Nothobranchius furzeri: one gene and its partners. The protein of the gene in region 2 interacts with the protein of the main gene of each other region in a biochemical or structural test. Links are inferred from orthologs where the notes say so. Each region holds a gene or a part of one and is shown on either strand. Other genes may lie near its edges. The genes, in order: setd1a, wdr5, chd8, setd1ba and kmt2cb.

Region 1 (3,515 bases), on a different chromosome or scaffold from region 2:
GTCTACAATTGTCTCAAAGGAAACCCATCGTTATTTTCACACCAGCATTAGAAGCTATTGCGAGTTTATTTCTGTAACTTATACCTACATTTAACAACTTTTTTTTGTTGCTTTTAAATAAATCAAAGAGGAAAGCTCATATCAAATGAATTAGCTCCGATTTAAGAGGTTACTTACTGAGGTATCGACATTCTCAACTTCCCGTATGACCTGCTCGGGAAGATGCAGGTCTAGGTAGACGTCCTTCTCCTTGCGGCTGATGGCGTAGTAACCCTCACTCCTGGCACATCCAGTCACATGCTCTCGAAGCTGTCCATCTGTGTTCTTCTTTTTGCGTCGAGGGTTTGGTAAATTGGTTAGTGCAGCTCAAGAGTCAAGGATGAAACATCAGAAATGTGTAAACATTTCATCTTAGTCATATTAAATAGTAATACATGGTACAGGAAATGTCAGGAAAAGATCTGAGCAGTTAGCGTTTGAAAAGGATATCAGTATGAGTGACCCAGTGAGTATCGTTGAGCCAGTCGGAGCTGTGGTCGTCCTGTAACAGCTTCTCATAAGTCTTCTTCAGGTAGGTCAAGTCTTCACCATCCAGACCAGCATTCCAGATGTCATACAAGATGGTCATTTGTTCAAATTCACTACGGTTTTCAAACTTAACAGGTGGCAGCTCAGGTGCAGGAACAGGCTTCAGCCTGCGTGGCGAAGTCACCCCCGCCTCCTGCAGAAAGAGGCGTTCGCTCTTCCTCACGTCTTCTGCCATCTCGTTATCAGTGTCTGAGCTGGAGAGCTCCCCAGATTCAAGCTCCTCCACGTCCACATCTTCATCTAAGTCAGAATCCTGGAGGACGAAAAGTCAGCTGTCACTGGATTTGGGTCTATTTAGGATTTACTGACATCTAGTACAAATCATGACACAAATGTGGTCAAGAGGAGGTAATATATGAACTGGCCATTTTCGGTTATTGAGGCAAAATCATATACTTTTATTTTTTTAAATGACCAAACTGAAAAGAACTTCTAATAATCTGTAACACAGAACATACAGCTAGAGCAAACTGTTGTGAAAATGGTAGAGGCCAACCAATATATAAGGCCAATATATTACATTGTTTCTATATTGGCTGAAATTATTTTTAAAAGCTGCAAATAAATAAATAAATAAATAAAAATAACTTTTTTTAAATAAAAAAATCAGGCATCTGTGTGACCAACTGCCACCACTACTAGACTGAAGAAAGGACCCGAAGGACCCCAACACACCAATTTTTTAATGTTTTGAGCTTGTTTTGTATGTGAAGTTCAATAAATAATCAGAGATTTACTGACTTACTTCATTTATATTGCACACAGTGTCTTTCACAATCAATGTGCTGCTAAAACGTATATATAGGCCTTAATAATCGGCAACAAAATTCTTTAAAAATCAGCATTGGCCTTTGAAAAAACTCATATCGGTCAGCTTCTAGAAAATGGGGGGGGGGGGGGGGGTAAATAAATAAAAAAATGTTTTTAGGTGTGTGGATGCACGCGGGGTTCAGGGACCACAAAGAGAAGGCCTGCAGGCCGCCTATTGAGGACCACTGCTATAGAGGACTGATAAAGCTCTCATTTATTATCGTCTCTGCTGCAGTAGTGGGAATATCTCACATTGGCTACATTCACACTGCAGGCAAAAGCGCATCAAATCCAAGTTTTTCTCATGTGTGACCCATTTCTGTTTTTTTAACAGCCAAAACAGCACCGATCAGACTTTTTCAAATCCAATCCAAGTGACTTTCATATGTGGTACTGAATCCAATACGTATCCTGATGTTTTTGAAAGCAACTTCAGTCTGAACGATCATGTTGCATCAAATCTGCCTCCTCTATCACTGATCATCAGAGGTGAGCACGTGTGTTCACGTTTCCGAGAAGAAGTGCTGAAGGAGGGATTCAGAGGTCTGTCTAGACGTCCTGTCAAGTTTTGGAACTGAAATGATTATTAAATAGAAGCGAGTATGAATGGAGGGTGCTGCTGGAGCAAAGCGTCTCCCCGGTCACTGTCAGAGAGGGCTGGGGTGTTTGTCCATGAATGAACGTAGCATCGGAACATTTCCTGGGAATACTATTAAGGTAGGATGGTGGGAAAGGGGAGTAAAATAGTTTCCAGGTGTGATCCTGAAATTACGGATGAACTCTCAGTGAAGGCTTCCACCTCTCCACGACTCCACTGAGTGTGACTTCTTATCTTCTGCGCATGCGAGTCACTTTGGGGTCATGAACCGTTTACACTGGAGAGTGTTTGATGTTGCATTTCAGTTATAATGCGTGCAACCATACAAAAAAATAATCGGAATTAAGCATCAAGACCTGCAGTGTGAACAAAGCCAAATAGACACTGGTCTATATAAACCTAAACAAACTATACCAGCTTTTATGACCTTAATAAAAATTGTGCACAAAAAATAAAAAAAATAAAGTTGTGAGAGATTGCAGAGGATGACTCAGCCATCTGCAGGAAACCACGTACCTCTAGTTTCTGCTTCCTCTGCTTCTTGCCTGCCGGCTCCTTCTGCTTCCGTGAATGGTGTGGCTCAAGGTTTTCTTTATCTTTTCTCTTCCTCTTTTCACTCTTGTCATATTCAAGTTCTAAACCTTTCCCAGGATAATGTTTCTTCTTTGGAGATGGCGCTGCAGCTGCCACGTGGCTCAGATCATCAGAATCACTCAGCTCTCCCGCTGAAGGCAGGTAGTCTCCAGCATACAACCTGGACGGTAACGCCTCTCCAATCACTTCCTCTGGAGCCTCAAGGACCCCAGAAATAGAATTGAGGTCTGTCGGGACTAAGATGGAGGAATCTTGTCTAGAGGAAGCCTTTTTGGAAGTGGATGGTGCTACGAGTAAAGGAGGTTTGCAGTAGTTGTGCTCCAAAAGGACGATAACACCTCCAGGACTTACAAGCAAAGCCAGCGACTCTGGAGAGAGGACATTTCCTTCCATTTTCTGCTCTTCTGCTTCATCAGAAGTTTCTGTCTCCTCAGAGTCCCCAGCATCTGGGTCCATTTTTAAGGCTACATCAGCCAGCACAGACAGGTCAGCTGTGGAGGCCGAGGACAGCTGCAGGAGGCTGGAAGCTCCCACCTGCTCTCTAAGTCTTAACCTTAGCTCACTTTCCTCCTCATCCTCGTCATCCTCTCTGAAGGAGTGACAGGAAGAAGCAGAAATGCTGGATGTCCGAGGTCTGCCTCTGGGCCGCTTGACAGAAGGTGGTGGAGGGGCCTCCTCAAAGGCCATCCTACACATAGAAGCATGGTCCAATGGAAGGTTCTGCACCGTGCGGCATATCATAATAGGGGCGGGAGATCTGGGAGAGTCTTTGCCTGCTCCCCGTTTGCTGGGAGACTTGACAGAAGTTGTGTGCGTGATAACAAAAGGTCCCTTTTTGGTCTCCTCTGAATCCTGGGCTCGTCCAGGAGGGGGGACAATGAGGGCATTGCCTTCTCCTGGTTTTGAGGCGAAAGGCAGAAGCTGG
Region 2 (4,027 bases):
GCTAACGGTTAGCTTCTACCAGCCGAGATGTTCTATGCTGTTTTCTGGACGCTAAACCAACAATAGCCGTCCTCGTCATGAGCCAAGATGGGTGAGCCCATGAATGTTTAGTGACAGTGTAACGTGGATCTGTCAGGATTTTCTAACCCTAGACTTTCACCATCTATTTTCTAGCTAATCCAGAAGATAGGAGACTTTTGTCATGTTCAGCCTGCATGAAAAACCTCAGAGTAACTAAAATAATCATTAAAAAAGGTTTTTCAATGAACCACACCTTAAAACATTCTTACCGAGTTAACGTCCCAGATCTTCAGAGTTTTGTCATCCGACGCAGAAACAAGAAGGTTGGAGTCAGATGACCAGGCCACATCAGATATTCCCTGGAAAATAAAGAAATTCTAAGATCTCAAGGCTTCAAGGACATAAAATGATACAAGAGTAAACAATGGAGTCATTTCTCATGTTTATCTTCTAAAAATGTAAATACAATCTTGTTCTTGCTTTGAACGACCAAACAGATCAGACTCAAAGTTTTTATTATTCACTGCATGTGAATACCCTCTGCTGCTGCATGGCACTCAAATGGTGTGTTTGGAATAACAGAAGAAAAAAAGAACAGATATAAATATATAAACAGAAGTACATGTTTACTAGATATGTAGCAGCAGTAAATGTATTCACTTTATATTAGACTTATTGCACTGGTGACTGAGGTTTTTGCTCTAATGCGCATGAGAGGGTTTTAGTACATTTAGTTTACTGCTGTGGGGAAGGGGATTGTTTGCACCAACTGGACGGCAAGAGTCCAAAACAGTAATGACCAGGGTGGGAGGAGTCTTTGATGTTTTAGTAAAAGCGGTGAAACTCTACCTAATACAGTCCTGCAGGCAGAAACACAACAGTGCCACAGGTAAGGGTCCCTTCTACTCACAAGTTTGTGTCCAGAAATGGTTTTCTCAAACTTGCCATCATAAGCGCCCCAGATTTTGATGAGTTTATCAGCAGCTGTAACACAAACAATGAAAAAGACATCATGAAAAAGAGAAAAAAAATGACTGAAAAGTTGCAAAATGGTAAAAAATATATAATTTCCCCATTTCAATCATTTCAGCTGATCAGATATTCAAATGAAACGAGTGTACCCAAAGATAAATACTAAAACCAATAAAAATTTCACAATTGCATAAGAATATTTAGTCACTAAAGCACTGCTATTATTGTTATTTACATTTAACTTAGAGCACAAAATACACTTCATCTATGCAGTACAAGTGTTTTATCAAACTTTAAAAAAAGCTCTGGATCAAACATAGTTTCACAAAACCCAATACATTTTATTATGGAATGAAAGAAGATTTATGTTGAGGTAGCTGAGATTTAAACAAGATATGATTCAAAATGAGATGCTTACACGAGCTGGCGAGCCATTCTCCACTTGGACTGAATTTAACCGAGGACACAGCCTTAGTGTGTCCCGCTAGTGTGAATTTCAAACTGTAGTTTGGTTTTGCAGGTGCAGTCTGCAAAAGAAAACCAGTTCTAATTTAGCAAATGAATAAACATGATGAAATACTTTCAATAAAGAAAGAAAAAATCCGAAATAATGCTGGAATATTGACAGTCCTTAACAAAAACTTAGAATTAAACTATCATAAGAGGACAGGGTGGGAGATTACAGGCAATGCCAAAACTTGGGTTTGTCAGACCTTGCTTTGGCTAGCAGAGGCTGATGGGACAACTGGAGGCTTGGTGTCAGTCTCTGGTTTCTTGTCCTCTGTTGCCATGGTGAGGAAATCAGCATCTATTGCACCTGAGACAAAAGAAGAAACCATAAAAAAAGTTAATAAATCAGGCAAGTTAAACCTAAAGATTAAACAACTGGGATAAGTTATTGGGTGGAAATTTTACAATTTCTAACACCCGGAATTTTAAAGTTTGGAGAAATAAGATAAACCCTCCAGCTCGATGACTGCTAATAACCACCATTAAGGTAAACGTGATTAAAAACTATTGTTTTATCTGTTAGCATTAGCTTCCTTTACTGTGATCTAAAATAAACAGTGGGGTTTACTTTAAATAAGATAAATTAAGTATATATCATGTAAATTTTACTTTAATTAGGCTTATTAATAGGCTGTGATGCTCAAAAGTATTTAAATGCCCGTTTAGGGTCCGTTTAGCTATAAAATTAGCTAATGCAGCTAGCTGAAGTTAGCTAACGTTAAATTGCTCTTACTATGAAAACCGATTGAGGCCAACCCCCTTGTCCGGTTACCGTTTACCATCTTGTGTTGCCTTCAAATGCATTGACACCAGCTCGTTTTTGCTTCGAATTATTATTTATGCGAAAAATAAAAGCAAACAAAGGGAGAACGAGTACGTTCGCTGTAAAGTTCAACACCTGAATATACTTGGGTTACCTTCGAACAAAACAACGTGAAGATCTATAGATTAGAGGCTGTCTCGCGGAATAAAATGTATTTTGGCATGAACGCCACAGTTATATGAAGAAGCTAATCGCAGTTTTGACATGCAGTTGATGCTGTTGACAAGTTATGCAGCCACGAAGGGGGCCTCCATTGAAACAATGAAGATTCGGTTTTACACCGATACTTACGTTGATCAATTTAGATCTACAGTCAGACTGGTACTCCTTGCAAATCCTGGAAATCTAAAACAGTCCGTATAATAACTAAAGAGAGATAGAACAAAGAACAAATCAAGCTATTTGCTTGAGGATGTTTGCCTGGTAAAGGAACGAGCTGCGAGGTGAAGCGGGGAATGTGCTTACAGTTTGCGCAGGCGCATGACGTTCAAAAGTGACGGGAACTAATGAGGGACAATTATGAAAAAATCGTTTCGACTGCCGTTTGAAAAGAGCCCAATAGTTTTAATTAATCTTATTTATTACAAGTTTGTATTTTTTAAATTTAAAATGACAAAAATTCTCAACAGAGAATTTGTAGAAGTACATTATGTGAAATACTTCATCTAAATTTCAATGAAAGGCAGTAGCCATTTAAAAACCAGGCTGTGGCTGTCAGAGTCAATCAATATGCAAAAAGGAAAAGTCTACATGAAACAGAAACAAACACACAGCAAACAAAAATCTAAATAAAACAAACAAATTACATATCTTTAATACGTCGTAACCTTATTTTATGCTTTATGTAGTTATGAACTACTGACTGTGATATTTTCATAGTAAATCACTTGCATTTATTTATATAACCCTAACCATTTACTTTTTAGCTCAATACTTTCCACAATTATAAATATGATTTTGTGAAATGCAGATTTCACACTTTTACCATAAATCAGCTGTGAACGCGCTTTGGATTCTCCGGCTCAACAGATGGCGCTATGAGCACCAGACCTGTCCCTTCAGCCGTGGCTGCAATAGGTCGGGGAAGAAGTTTCTAGTTCTTTTTGAACACACTGCACTCTGGTGTTCACTAGTTTGTTTTGGCTTCGGTGAGCTTTCTTCCAAGCCGTGCAGCGTCAAGCTCCCATGTCAACACGCCCTCTTAAATGAGTTGGTAAACACTTCTGTTGTTATTTTCTTATTTTTACTCATTACTTAGCGGTTAGCCTCCTCCATAACAACAATAGGTGTTTAAAGAAGCGGACTTCTTCGCTTCGTTATATGATAATTTAATTCAAGCTTATTTATTGGCGCTACATTTTGCCCCAAATTAAAGCAAACGTTACTTAACCAAAACCTGTAGTTGGTATTTCGAAACTTATATCAACAGTCGGTGTCACAAAGTGTGTTGTCATCCGCTGCAGTGTCCCTTACCAAACCAGCTAGCTAACTTTATGCTAACGAACATCGTGCATACTTGTGTTTTTATTTCACGATAAGTATTTGAAACGTTTTAAAGCCAATCATGTCGCTTTGTCCAAACCTACATTTTAATACATTTTGAGTAAAACCATCTCGCTTATTTAGTCATTTAGTCTCATTCGTACATTACGCCACGTTTTTCACTGTAAACGAAAAGTATTTGACGATATCTTCTGCGTC
Region 3 (3,515 bases), on a different chromosome or scaffold from region 2:
ATCAACGGTAAGGCTGAGGGGCGCCACAAACGATTGTTTTCTTATTGCACCAGGATGCAGCTGCTCTAATTCAGCCATCATTAGTTTCTAGTTTCAAGTGTGATCCGTTATGTGCAAGCTTATCAAGCTTATAAAACAACAGGGCTCTCATGTCCGTCACCAACATGTTTAAAATCGCCCGGTCAGAACCTTTGCTTGTCGACGTGTGCATGTTGGCTAGGTAACAAACTCGTCGAGCGCTTTTTTAATGCTGTAAGGTAGCGAGATACAATCAATCGTTGGCGTTTGTAACGTAAGAGCAAATAGGTGACATACGTGTGCTAAAGGTCACGAAATTGCCATCATTACTGTTGTTGCTACAGCTATGAACACAAGTAGCTCCCTGTTGATGTTAGCAGCTAATGAGAAGTAATTAGCTTACAGAGGCGACTGTCCGTCTTTGTTCTCCGCCATGACGAGCTTCCTTTGAAGGTATTCGTGCATGAACATGCTCCCGTGACAAGATTTAAATGTACGTGCTTCTCTTTTGTCTTTGTAAAGTGCTCCAAACTTTTGAGCTACGTTGCCGGCTTGCCAAGTCTTGTTTTTTCCAGTGACGCGACGGCTCAGCCGGGCGGCCACATGTGCCTCGAACAAAAAGGCAGAAAGCAGCAGTGGTGCTGCAGCGGGCAAAATTTATAAAACGCTTCATAGAATAAATGACGTTGACTTCAATTTATTACCGACTGTTTTGTTTGTTGACGTCATCATGACGTAACAACTAATCGTGGCAGCACTAGTACGGCCTAACATCTTTTAAAAAATCAGCTACCCAATTAATTACTGTTTCCTTTTTCCTTGTTCAGGCGCAGAGGAGAAGATCGTGGCGGAGCTGCGGCAGGTGTATGACCCCCTGGCCCCTGACTTTCATTTGCAAGCCCTGATTCGGTCAGCTGGGAAACTGGTGCTTCTCGATAAGCTGCTGCCCCGTCTGAAGGCTGGAGGCCACAAAGTGCTCATCTTCTCCCAGATGGTGCGCTGCTTGGACATCCTCGAGGACTACCTCATCAACAAGAGGTATAAACATCTACACACATCGTATTTTATCTCTTGATGGTGCAAAGTAACTTTGACATTATTGAAAGTTTGGGGAAACTTTGAAGAAACCTTCATGGGTTTTGTATTTCTCCAGGTACCTTTATGAACGAATTGATGGTAGAGTGCGTGGGAACCTGCGACAGGCAGCCATCGATCGCTTCAGCAAGCCAGACTCTGATCGTTTTGTCTTCCTCCTGTGTACTCGTGCTGGTGGTCTGGGCATCAACCTGACTGCTGCTGACACTTGTGTCATATTTGACTCTGACTGGAACCCTCAGAATGATCTGCAGGTATTGTGATGTACTAACGACGGGTTTTAAAGCTTTCTGTTCTGCCTCCACACCTTTTTCCCTTCTTTTTTTTTTCAGGCCCAAGCGAGGTGTCATCGTATTGGACAGTCAAAAGCGGTCAAAGTCTACCGTCTCATCACCCGGAACTCCTACGAGAGGGAGATGCTGGACAAAGCGAGTCTGAAGCTCGGATTGGACCGGGCTGTCCTTCAAAGCATGAGCGGCAACAAAGACAGCAGCGTCAACGGGGTAACGACTCGCTAGGCTGGTTGCTCACGTCACGTCTCATTGGATCTCTTGTCTAAACAATTTAATGTCATGTTTAACAGCTCCAACAGTTTTCCAAGAAGGAGATTGAAGATCTGTTGAGGAAAGGAGCCTATGCCGCCATCATGGATGAGAATGACGAAGGCAGCCGGTTCTGTGAGGAAGATATTGACCAGATCCTTCAGCGACGAGCCACCACCATCACTATTGAGAGTGAAGGAAAGGGCTCTACTTTCTCCAAAGCCAGCTTTGTGGCCTCTGAGAACCGCAATGACATCGCCCTCGATGATCCTGAATTCTGGGAGAAGTGGGCCAAGAAAGCAGATATAGACATGGATTCTATCAATCAGAAGGTGACGCTTTGGTGTTTGATTTTAATGGAGAGATTTATGGCTCACACAGATGGATATCCTCCTAAATCAGTTTGTTCCCTCCCCCTGCAGAACACACTGGTGATCGACACCCCCAGGATTCGCAAGCAGACCCGTCAGTTCTCCACTTTACGTGGCGAAGGTGGAGACCTGTCAGATCTAGAGAGTGATGACGAATATCCACCTGCTAATTCTAGACATTCGCGTGCTTCTCGCCGCTCTGATCGCCACAGCGGAGGAGGATACGGACGCACCGACTGTTTCCGGGTGGAGAAACACCTGCTGGTCTATGGGTGCGAACATGGTGTTTCCCTTTTATTTCGATGTTAAGCGGTCTTGTTGACGTTGCCTTGCGGGTTTGATCTGCTGTAGGTGGGGTCGCTGGAGGGACATCTTGTCTCATGCCAGATGTAAGAGGCGTCTGAGTGAGCGTGACGTGGAAACCATCTGCCGTGTCATCCTGGTCTTTTGTCTGCTGCACTATCGTGGTGATGAGAACATCAAGAGTTTCATCTGGGAGCTCATCACTCCTCCAGAGAATGGCCGAGAGCCTCAAACACTACTAAACCACTCTGGTATGAGGCTGTCATTTTCTCTTTTCAGTAGTTAAATCAGAAGACTAAATGAACTGTTGACATGTTTTTGTGTTTTTTTTTTTTTATTCAGGCCTTTCCATCCCCGTTCCAAGAGGCAGGAAGGGAAAGAGGGTGAAGGCTCAGAGTACGTTTGATGTGCAGAAGGTTGAGTGGATCCGCAAGTACAACCCTGACACTCTGCTGCTTGATGACAGCTACAGAAAACACTTGAAGCACCAGTGCAACAAGTGAGTGAGGCCAGTCAGACGCTGGTTCATGTCAACGACTTTGATTTAAGCTGAGATGTTTCCTCCGTTGTCAGAGTGTTGCTGAGGGTCCGGATGCTCTACTACCTCAAACAGGAGGTTATTGGTGAACATGCAGATGCTGTCTTGAAAGGAGCTGAGATCAGGTATTTGATGCTTCTTGTTTTATTTAAAGGTTCAGATTCGGTTACTGAGACGCCGTTTGTCTTTAGGGACGTGGACATCTGGATGCCAGAGATGGAGCAGCAGGAGGTGCCTGCTGTGTGGTGGGACGCTGATGCAGACCGCTCACTTCTTGCTGGTGTTTTCAAACATGGTAGAGTTACTTATTAAAAAAAATGAAGGCTGACTTTTTTTGGTTCCTGTTGGACTGGACCGTTTCCTGATGCTGGGACTTGATATTTGTTTTAAAGACGTTGGCGTTTAACTGATCTGATTTTGCAATTGGTTACCAGGTTATGAGATGTACACCACCATGCGAGCCGATCCCTGCCTCTGCTTCATAGAAAGAGTCGGTCGGCCTGACGACAAAGCCATTGATGCTGAGCAGCAAACCGGTGACGCGGAGCTCGGGGATGAGTAAGTTACCGCTGCTTTGTTCTGCCTTTCATAAATTCTACTTTTGTGATTAGAAAGTGGTTCTAACTGCTGATATTCAAACGGGACCCC
Region 4 (3,515 bases), about 10 Mb from region 2:
GAGTAAAACCATAGAAAAGCTACCTGAGCGTGCTTCTGTAACTTCTGAGGCAGCTAATAACTCACCAACACCTGCTACCAGCACTCAGGAGGAGCTTAGAAAGTGTGCTAGTGCTGATTTGAAGATACCAAACTTAAAAAAAAACTACTTTCACTTTACCCATGAGACTACGCAGCTGAGAAACCAGAATTTCCTTTATAAGGCAGAACAAAACCAATGACACAAAAGGCTTTACTACTACCGCCTCACGCTTAAGCTAAACCTGACTTCCTGTGTCCCTGTGTAACTGTCATTCACACCTGCACACACCAGCAACAGCCTCTCGTGCCAACTGGGTATGGAGACATGTGTCTCCGTCTTACCGTGTCTGTTTTATCAGCGGGACTGTGGCATCCAAAGGGCCCGTCCTTGAGGTCAGTTTTGCTCTTCTCGTGGACAGGAGAGCCAACTCTTCCAACCAATGAGGACATCCCGGGAACAGGCTCGTCATCATCCGAGTCTGGCAGTGGGGTTGGACTGATGTCCTCCAAGCCCATACTTGGGGGACGGGAATTCTGCTGGCCACCCTGAGAGCTACCAGTGTAAGGTGGGATCGGGGACAGCTGGGAGGACGAGGAGGAAATAGGACTTCCCTCCATGCGCACCTCGTTGTCCGAGTCCCGCTCCTCCAGGAACGGCAGCAGTTTTGTCCTTTTTTCTTTCAGGAGCATCTCGATGCGAGAATCCAGGCTGTTACGCTCCGAGTCCAGCACCGGAGAGCCGGGCGAGGGGCAGTCCTCCGGGGTCTGGGGGGGAGGGGTAGTCGGATGGGGACTAGGTTCAGGTGGCGGCTCTGGGATGGGAGGAGTTTCTGGTCTCTCCTTGACGGGTAAAAAGTCAGTTGGAGCTGCCAGTGGAGGCTGCGGAGGTAGGAGGTACTCACCCTCCCTTTGGGATGGGTGATGAAAAGGTGGCTCAGATGGGGGGAAGGCGGGAGGCAAAGGTGCCTGGTAGGGTGAGAAGGCAGACTTGAAGTTAGGCGTAGTGGGGGGAGGCGCGGAGTAGTTGAAGGAGGTGGTGGAAGGTGGAGGTTCAGGCGGGGTGAGCTGGTGCTGTTTTGAAGGAGCCTGCTCAGACGACGTACTGCGATACATGTTGCTGCGATACTGCGGCCTCTCTGGTCTGCGATTGTACGCATCTTGGAACTTGCTCTCGTGCCTCCGAGACTTGTAGCCTCCGGAGCTCTCGGGACGGCTGGACTGGTATGCAGGCGTGGACTGCCGACTGGAGAAACTAGAGTCCTGAGAGAAGGGTGTGCCTGGCTGGCGTGGGGTGTGAGGGGTTCCCTGGGACTGGGGGGTGTCCTGCCTTAAGCTGGAGTAGCCGGTCTCCAAGCTCAGGGGAGTGGTAGAGCTGCTGGGCGGCAGCGCTCCTCCCACAGAGGAGATGCTGCTCTCAGACAACCTGCGGATGGGCTCGCAGGCCTGGAACAAAACGAAATGAGGATACCAGTCAACAACGGATGTCCCAAAAAGGCACAAAGCATAAAACAGGCTGTAAACAATGAATGTTGACACTACTTAAGAAGTTATTTCAAACTAAAACAACAGCAATAAAGTTTTAATTGACCAGTAACGCTTCAGCCAGGCTCCGCGGGGAAACCTCCCGGGTCTCCTCTACACCAACAGGCAGCGTCCTTGGAGTGTAGCTGCCATTCATCAGGAGCTGGAAGTACCTCAGGCGATTCTCACCTGCAGTACAGTAAACAAGACATGCTTAGTACTGGAAGACTAATAATGGGGTTAATTGTTCAACAAATGGCACTAATTCACAGTGGCTGAAAATGATGCTGAACAGCTGATCATTTCTAATGTAGGAGCCTTACAAAATGCCACGATCGATTATCAATCCCTCATCACGCCATGCATTCGTTTTCTCAATCAATGAAGCAACCTAACATGTGACTGAGCGTGGACCAAAGCATGTCTGCATATCTAACAAAAATACATGCAAATTACGAGTTTATGTGTAATCAATGGAAACATGCATAGTGACGCTTAAAACATGAAATCTTTGAATCAGCACAGATGCTATACATACATACATACATACATACATACATACATACATACATACATACATATATAGCAATTGAGGAATAATCTTTACATTTGGAGGTTTGCATCAACAAAGATCAATCAGGCATTTTGCTATAAAAAAGGTCAAATAAAGCACTTTGGTGTGAACTGAGGTGAGGAGGACTGTGACAGATTGGTTTGTGTTTGTTTGCAGATCTGAAATTATGCACAGAGGGAGTACACAGCACCCTCAGCTCTGAGCTTGTGGGAACAGGCTCATTTTCAATGAAATTCAATTATCCCACGTTACCAAGCAACGCACGTAAATTTCAGCACGTGACTGCTGTCATCCAGACAACCCAAAACAAACCAATAAAGCACACGTATGTGATTTTTTTTAGATCTGCGTTTCTGATAAACTATCTGAGAGAATAAAACAGTGCCTGAGCATATTCGATGTGAATGAATGGAGCTCTGTTGTTTACCTTTTGGGTCCAGCTCCACGTGGATGATGGTTCCCATCACAGACGTGTTGTGCAGCGACTGAACAGCCACCTTGGCGGATTTGACATTCTCAAAAACCACTTTAGCTATTCCCAGGTGCTTTTTGTTCTTCGGATTGTACAGGATCTCGACCTCCTCGATGTCTCCGAATTTTTTGCACATGTCCGTGAGAAATCCCTCCCTGATGTTGTCGTTCAGCCGGGCGAACGTCACCTCTTTCGGAGGCACGGGGCCGACGTAGCACTCATCGATCTGGGAGGAGGAGGACAGGAGTTAATAAGTGCCGTTGGGTTAATGATGCACCGTGCTGGAGGCGAGCTGAAGCAGCTACGATAAGAAAAGAAATACGAGGTTGCAGTAAATGTGTGGGTGAACTCTGTCCTGGAATATGTGAATGGAGATTTTAAAATCCTCCCGACGGGTTTAGCTCAGGTCCCAGAGATGACAGAGAGGGGGTGTGTCTGCAACTTCTGACAGCACCTCTTTTCCACAGGGAGAAACGCAGCGTGGGACTCCAGCCACAGTAGATACCTTAAACTTAGGCACCGGTAGGTCCGTTTCTTTGTACTTGGTCCAGAGACGACCGATCCTCGGGTCTCGGACGATCTCCACCGGTGGTATCCCAGGGTTCTGCAGGAGAGAAAGAGAGAGAGGCAGTCCTATTAACCATCCCGTAAACAAGTTCACACACGAACTTGTTGCAAAGTAGTCCTGGTGAAAGCAGGGGTGTTCAGCCCAGCCATCACACCCCCTCCGGAAACACCGTGTTAAAGATGCCGAACAATCCCCCTGGACATTCGGGGCAACGCGGCCGCTGTAGTAACGCATCATGGAGGTCGGCTACTCGGTTACTATTGTAGCCGTTACGCCGCGTCAAAGGCGGCACTTACTGGCATGCTGAAAGTCTGTCCATCGTAGCGATACAGTTTGTGTGATCCCTTCTTCAGCGCCGGG
Region 5 (3,976 bases), on a different chromosome or scaffold from region 2:
ATGAAAAGAAATGAAAGTTGACATTGTATATTACCTTCCCAGCCCTATGGACAGCGAATTGTCCTCTTCATGTCCCAAAATAATGGGGGGATGAAACGTTTTATCAACCAGCCAGCTAGCAGCTAGCTTCTCTCCAATGAAACAAGACCGCAGTTCTCAAAAATGCACAGCGCATATCATTATATCCCAGCGTTGCAATGATATTCCCAACTTTGCCCATTTGATGGAAAAGCCGTTGATGTAAATCCAAAAGAAAACCGCTTCACTGGCATTTGCGGAGATCACTTTCCTTTTTCTCCAATGACAGCTGTCGAGTTCGGGTAACACAGCTAGTTGATGTTAGCCACCCAAAAATTTGATCATTAACATGAAAACAAACAAGAGCCAAAACACATGTGGCTGTCAAAAAAGAAGAGCAACCAATCGGTGGATAAAACTTCAAATTCTTGAGGAACGTGTAACGACGAGGAGAAGGAAACGTTCGGTTCCGACCGCTGGCTTGGCAACTGGTTCTATTTTCTTCAGCTGCGACAAGCAGAAGCGGCCAGTTAGGAGACTCTCGCAACCAGCCTGCCACGCAGTAACAACCGGCTCCAAAAACGTGTAGAAACAAACATTAGCTTGCCCAAAATAACAGTGTGTCCGCCGAACGATGTGAGCTGAAAAATATATGAGAAAAATCATAAAATTAAGTTGAGGATGACGCTTCGGCGTACTCTATAACGGTGGCCATATCTAATGATAAGTGGCACCGAAGCACAGACCCTCCTCCCCCTAGGCTCTTAAAAAAACTAGATCCACCTCGTCCGAGCAGAACTACAGCAGACACGTATTTTCACATCGTCGTGGTTTATTTAAAATTAGTATTTCAAGAGTTTGGCAAATATATAAGCGCACGGATAAAACACAGGCATCAATAAATTGCACCCAAGTCGTTTTACGATTTCTTCAAAATACTCTCTGACCCTGCGGATTGATATGAGCATTTAGTAAATAAAATAATGGCCAGGGTAAGTGCGAAAAGGCGGATTCTGGAGTTTTTGGAGAGGAACGGTCAACAATGAACGCTCCAGTTTATGCAAATGTTTTCCCAAAAGAAGCAAAGAAACTCACTGTCAGCTTTCCAGGTTTCTTTAAAAAATATGAGTACTGATAGTTGGCATTAGTGGTGGTGTTTTAGACCTCGCGCAATGTTACCTCATGCTGGCAGGGACACCACAGCGTCCTCATTTTATCTCCCCCCCCTCCCCCTCCCACTCCCCCCCTACCCCCCACAGCAACAAACGTGAACTCATGGGCGCGCGCACGTACACTCACAAACAACACACAATACCTTTGCAAACCAGGCATTGCATTTTAAGGAACCTGCATACTGCCAGACACGCTGCACATGCAGGGGTTAACTTTCCTAAAGGTCCCCAGGGGTTGTCTTTCAGCCTGCACATGCATGAGAAATAAACAAAAATGTTGTGTATTATCACAAGTTCTGCGTTTCAATTACTCAGTCAATCACATTTTATTTATTTCCTTCGTGAGACGCCCACATTATTAGTGTTAATGATAATAATGTAGGTAAACGTCAACGATTCTTTGCATGAACCATGGCACTTCTTTCCTAAGCTATGCGCGCCACCTGCTGGCCAATGCAAAATATTGACTTTTTACTTGATTACGAAATTTTAAACGAATAAATAAACACCACTACTACTACTACTACTACTCAGTGGCGGTTCTACATGGAATTACTCCCCGGGCGAGGCCCCCTTTGAGCGCCCCCCCCCAACCGCCCCCACCACCACCACACCGCCCCACCTGCACGAACACACGTTTTCTACAAACAGGCAGGTTTTATTAGAACGACTATTGAACATTCATTTTTCTAAGTTGCACATATTTACATTAATTACTATGAAGTTGTCAGAATGTAAAGCACTATACATTATACACTGTATCAAAATATATAGAATCAAATATACAAAAACAACTAAACTAACTAAATATTAAGAATATATGCACATAATATATAATAAATATTCTAAATAGCAAAAATATTTAACACATAACAAACTAAAGATAATCACTATACAGCACTGCACTTAGAACAGAAAACACAAACTAAAATTAAAACCTAACCTTGATGCAAAGTCATCAATAATGTCATCACATGAAATCTGCTCCCCTACTGAGTGATTGATACTAATCAGAGCCAGGTGAATGAGCCGCCCCTGAAACATAGGTGACCTCAGGTATGACTTGATCAAGTTTTGAAAAGCTCCTCTCAGCTTGAGCCACAGTGACTGGCAGAGCAGTCCAAAAGTTGGGGTAGATCTCCAATAGATCTTTATCATGATCCATAATATTTTACAATTGCCTCTGAAATTGTAATTTAAACTGACATAAAAAAACTGTAGACTACCAAAAATGCCAACTTTTACAGAACAAATCATGTAAAAAATAATCAGTAGAGCCATCTGCAATAAATAAACAGGATAGTTAGTGGTGACTGGGGAGTTCTCTTCTGCTTGTAGAGTTGTTTTATTTATTATTATGTGAACATGATCAACATGTGTTTATTGTTGTTCAGGCGGGCCACAGGCTGCAGTGAGCATTTAACAAATCCTAGTTTGAATCAGTAAAAACGATTCAAGGAATTTTTTCGAACCATTTGAATATTCGTTTAAATATTTCAGCCCTATTAGCTCTGTTAGCAATTAGTTGACCAAATTTAACCGTTAAAATCCCAGTTAACTGGTTCAAAAAATTGAAAACATGCATCATGAGAGCGAACATACCTTTATCTTTCTCCTCTTTTTTCTTTTTTTTTTTCCTGAATCGGGCACCTGGTGGTTTTAGCCTTTTTATGTTCATCTCTTCTGTTTGGCTCTTGACTCAATAAGTTTCCTTTAGTCAGGACTAAACTATTTGACCTTGATGGGGGGGTGAACACAAAATCGTTTTGTTTTTCCTTTTTTATTTGGCCATTTCACACAATTCAGAAACACCTGAAAGAATGATAGGCCTGTGTTTATGATATTATGAATGAAATATGGAAGAACATCAAGATGTGATCGACTTTAAACATGTTGATACAGTTGATTCAGCCCCTAGCTCATTTCATTTGGACCCACCCAGAGGTGAATTCTCCCGCCGCACCCCTCCCCTTCCTGTTCTCCATACACACACACACGGTGCACGGAGCGCCTGCAGCTGCAGGGGGCGCCAACTTGCTGTTTCCAATCCAGACACTGTCATATGACAGATAATAGAAAACCTCGGTGCGGCGCAGGTTTCTTTTTTCTTTTTTTTTTACTCAGCGCTTGTGCGCCCCTTTTGTGTCATGAAAAAATGCCGCCCCGGGCAACTGCCCTGTCTGCCCGTGCCTAAAACCGCTACTGCTACTACTACTACTACTACTACTACTACTACTACTACTACTTCTACTACTACTACTAATAATAATAATAATAATAATAATAATAATAATAATAATAATATAACACCACCACTACTACTACTAATAATAACAATGAACAAGATAAAAAATATGTCTAATGGAAATTTTATCATAATATGGATAAGTTCAAAAATGTCTTAAGTGCAACTGTGGGTGACCCATTGCAGAGTAAATATGCTATAAAAATATATTTTTTTAAATCAAAGCTCATGTTTCTTTTATGTTGAATAATGAAAGCTTTTATTTTTCATGCATTTTAAAAATAATCACCTGCAAAAATGAACCAGTGGCACGTCCAGGTCTTGTCCTTTTGTGGATGATGTAGTTATCTTTAATGGAACTCAGCAGGGTGGCCAATAATATTCCAAGGGTGACATGTGCTATCCAGGCCACTCTCTGGACACGCCCCTGGCACCAACACACTGGGTAAATGACATTAAAGCGAAAACGCTTTAGACGCAGATTCATTATATTTTTCTAGTTTGAAACCAAATCTTTGACATATAACTCTAGGAGATTTCA

The links.
Region 1: the proteins of wdr5 (region 2) and setd1a form a complex in vitro, tested with the Homo sapiens proteins (4 studies listed by BioGRID, with this or other methods). The link is inferred for Nothobranchius furzeri from reciprocal best matches to the Homo sapiens genes WDR5 and SETD1A.
Region 3: the proteins of wdr5 (region 2) and chd8 form a complex in vitro, tested with the Homo sapiens proteins (2 studies listed by BioGRID). The link is inferred for Nothobranchius furzeri from reciprocal best matches to the Homo sapiens genes WDR5 and CHD8.
Region 4: the proteins of wdr5 (region 2) and setd1ba interact in a test that uses a peptide from one of them, tested with the Homo sapiens proteins (3 studies listed by BioGRID, with this or other methods). The link is inferred for Nothobranchius furzeri from reciprocal best matches to the Homo sapiens genes WDR5 and SETD1B.
Region 5: the proteins of wdr5 (region 2) and kmt2cb form a complex in vitro, tested with the Homo sapiens proteins (4 studies listed by BioGRID, with this or other methods). The link is inferred for Nothobranchius furzeri from reciprocal best matches to the Homo sapiens genes WDR5 and KMT2C.

Annotation. Positions count from the first base shown.
Region 1 is NC_091745.1:9,169,487-9,173,001, forward strand, and holds part of setd1a (histone-lysine N-methyltransferase SETD1A), read right to left. Parts: coding exon 2,513-3,515; intron 842-2,512; coding exon 490-841; intron 360-489; coding exon 178-359; intron 1-177. UniProt on the Homo sapiens protein: Histone methyltransferase that catalyzes methyl group transfer from S-adenosyl-L-methionine to the epsilon-amino group of 'Lys-4' of histone H3 (H3K4) via a non-processive mechanism.
Region 2 is NC_091746.1:41,695,523-41,699,549, reverse strand, and holds the start of wdr5 (WD repeat-containing protein 5), read right to left. Parts: upstream 2,805-4,027; 5' UTR 2,618-2,804; intron 1,811-2,617; 5' UTR 1,785-1,810; coding exon 1,707-1,784; intron 1,521-1,706; coding exon 1,412-1,520; intron 1,006-1,411; coding exon 932-1,005; intron 381-931; coding exon 291-380; intron 1-290.
Region 3 is NC_091751.1:63,449,439-63,452,953, forward strand, and holds part of chd8 (chromodomain-helicase-DNA-binding protein 8), read left to right. Parts: coding exon 1-7; intron 8-845; coding exon 846-1,056; intron 1,057-1,171; coding exon 1,172-1,367; intron 1,368-1,445; coding exon 1,446-1,616; intron 1,617-1,696; coding exon 1,697-1,987; intron 1,988-2,077; coding exon 2,078-2,298; intron 2,299-2,377; coding exon 2,378-2,580; intron 2,581-2,671; coding exon 2,672-2,828; intron 2,829-2,902; coding exon 2,903-2,992; intron 2,993-3,058; coding exon 3,059-3,162; intron 3,163-3,301; coding exon 3,302-3,425; intron 3,426-3,515. UniProt on the Homo sapiens protein: ATP-dependent chromatin-remodeling factor, it slides nucleosomes along DNA; nucleosome sliding requires ATP. Acts as a transcription repressor by remodeling chromatin structure and recruiting histone H1 to target genes.
Region 4 is NC_091746.1:51,994,327-51,997,841, reverse strand, and holds part of setd1ba (histone-lysine N-methyltransferase SETD1B-A), read right to left. Parts: coding exon 3,452-3,515; intron 3,192-3,451; coding exon 3,093-3,191; intron 2,814-3,092; coding exon 2,543-2,813; intron 1,731-2,542; coding exon 1,609-1,730; intron 1,464-1,608; coding exon 363-1,463; intron 1-362. UniProt on the Homo sapiens protein: Histone methyltransferase that catalyzes methyl group transfer from S-adenosyl-L-methionine to the epsilon-amino group of 'Lys-4' of histone H3 (H3K4) via a non-processive mechanism.
Region 5 is NC_091751.1:52,963,881-52,967,856, forward strand, and holds the start of kmt2cb (histone-lysine N-methyltransferase 2C), read right to left. Parts: upstream 2,814-3,976; 5' UTR 2,793-2,813; intron 262-2,792; exon of another isoform or gene 35-261; intron 1-34. UniProt on the Homo sapiens protein: Histone methyltransferase that catalyzes methyl group transfer from S-adenosyl-L-methionine to the epsilon-amino group of 'Lys-4' of histone H3 (H3K4).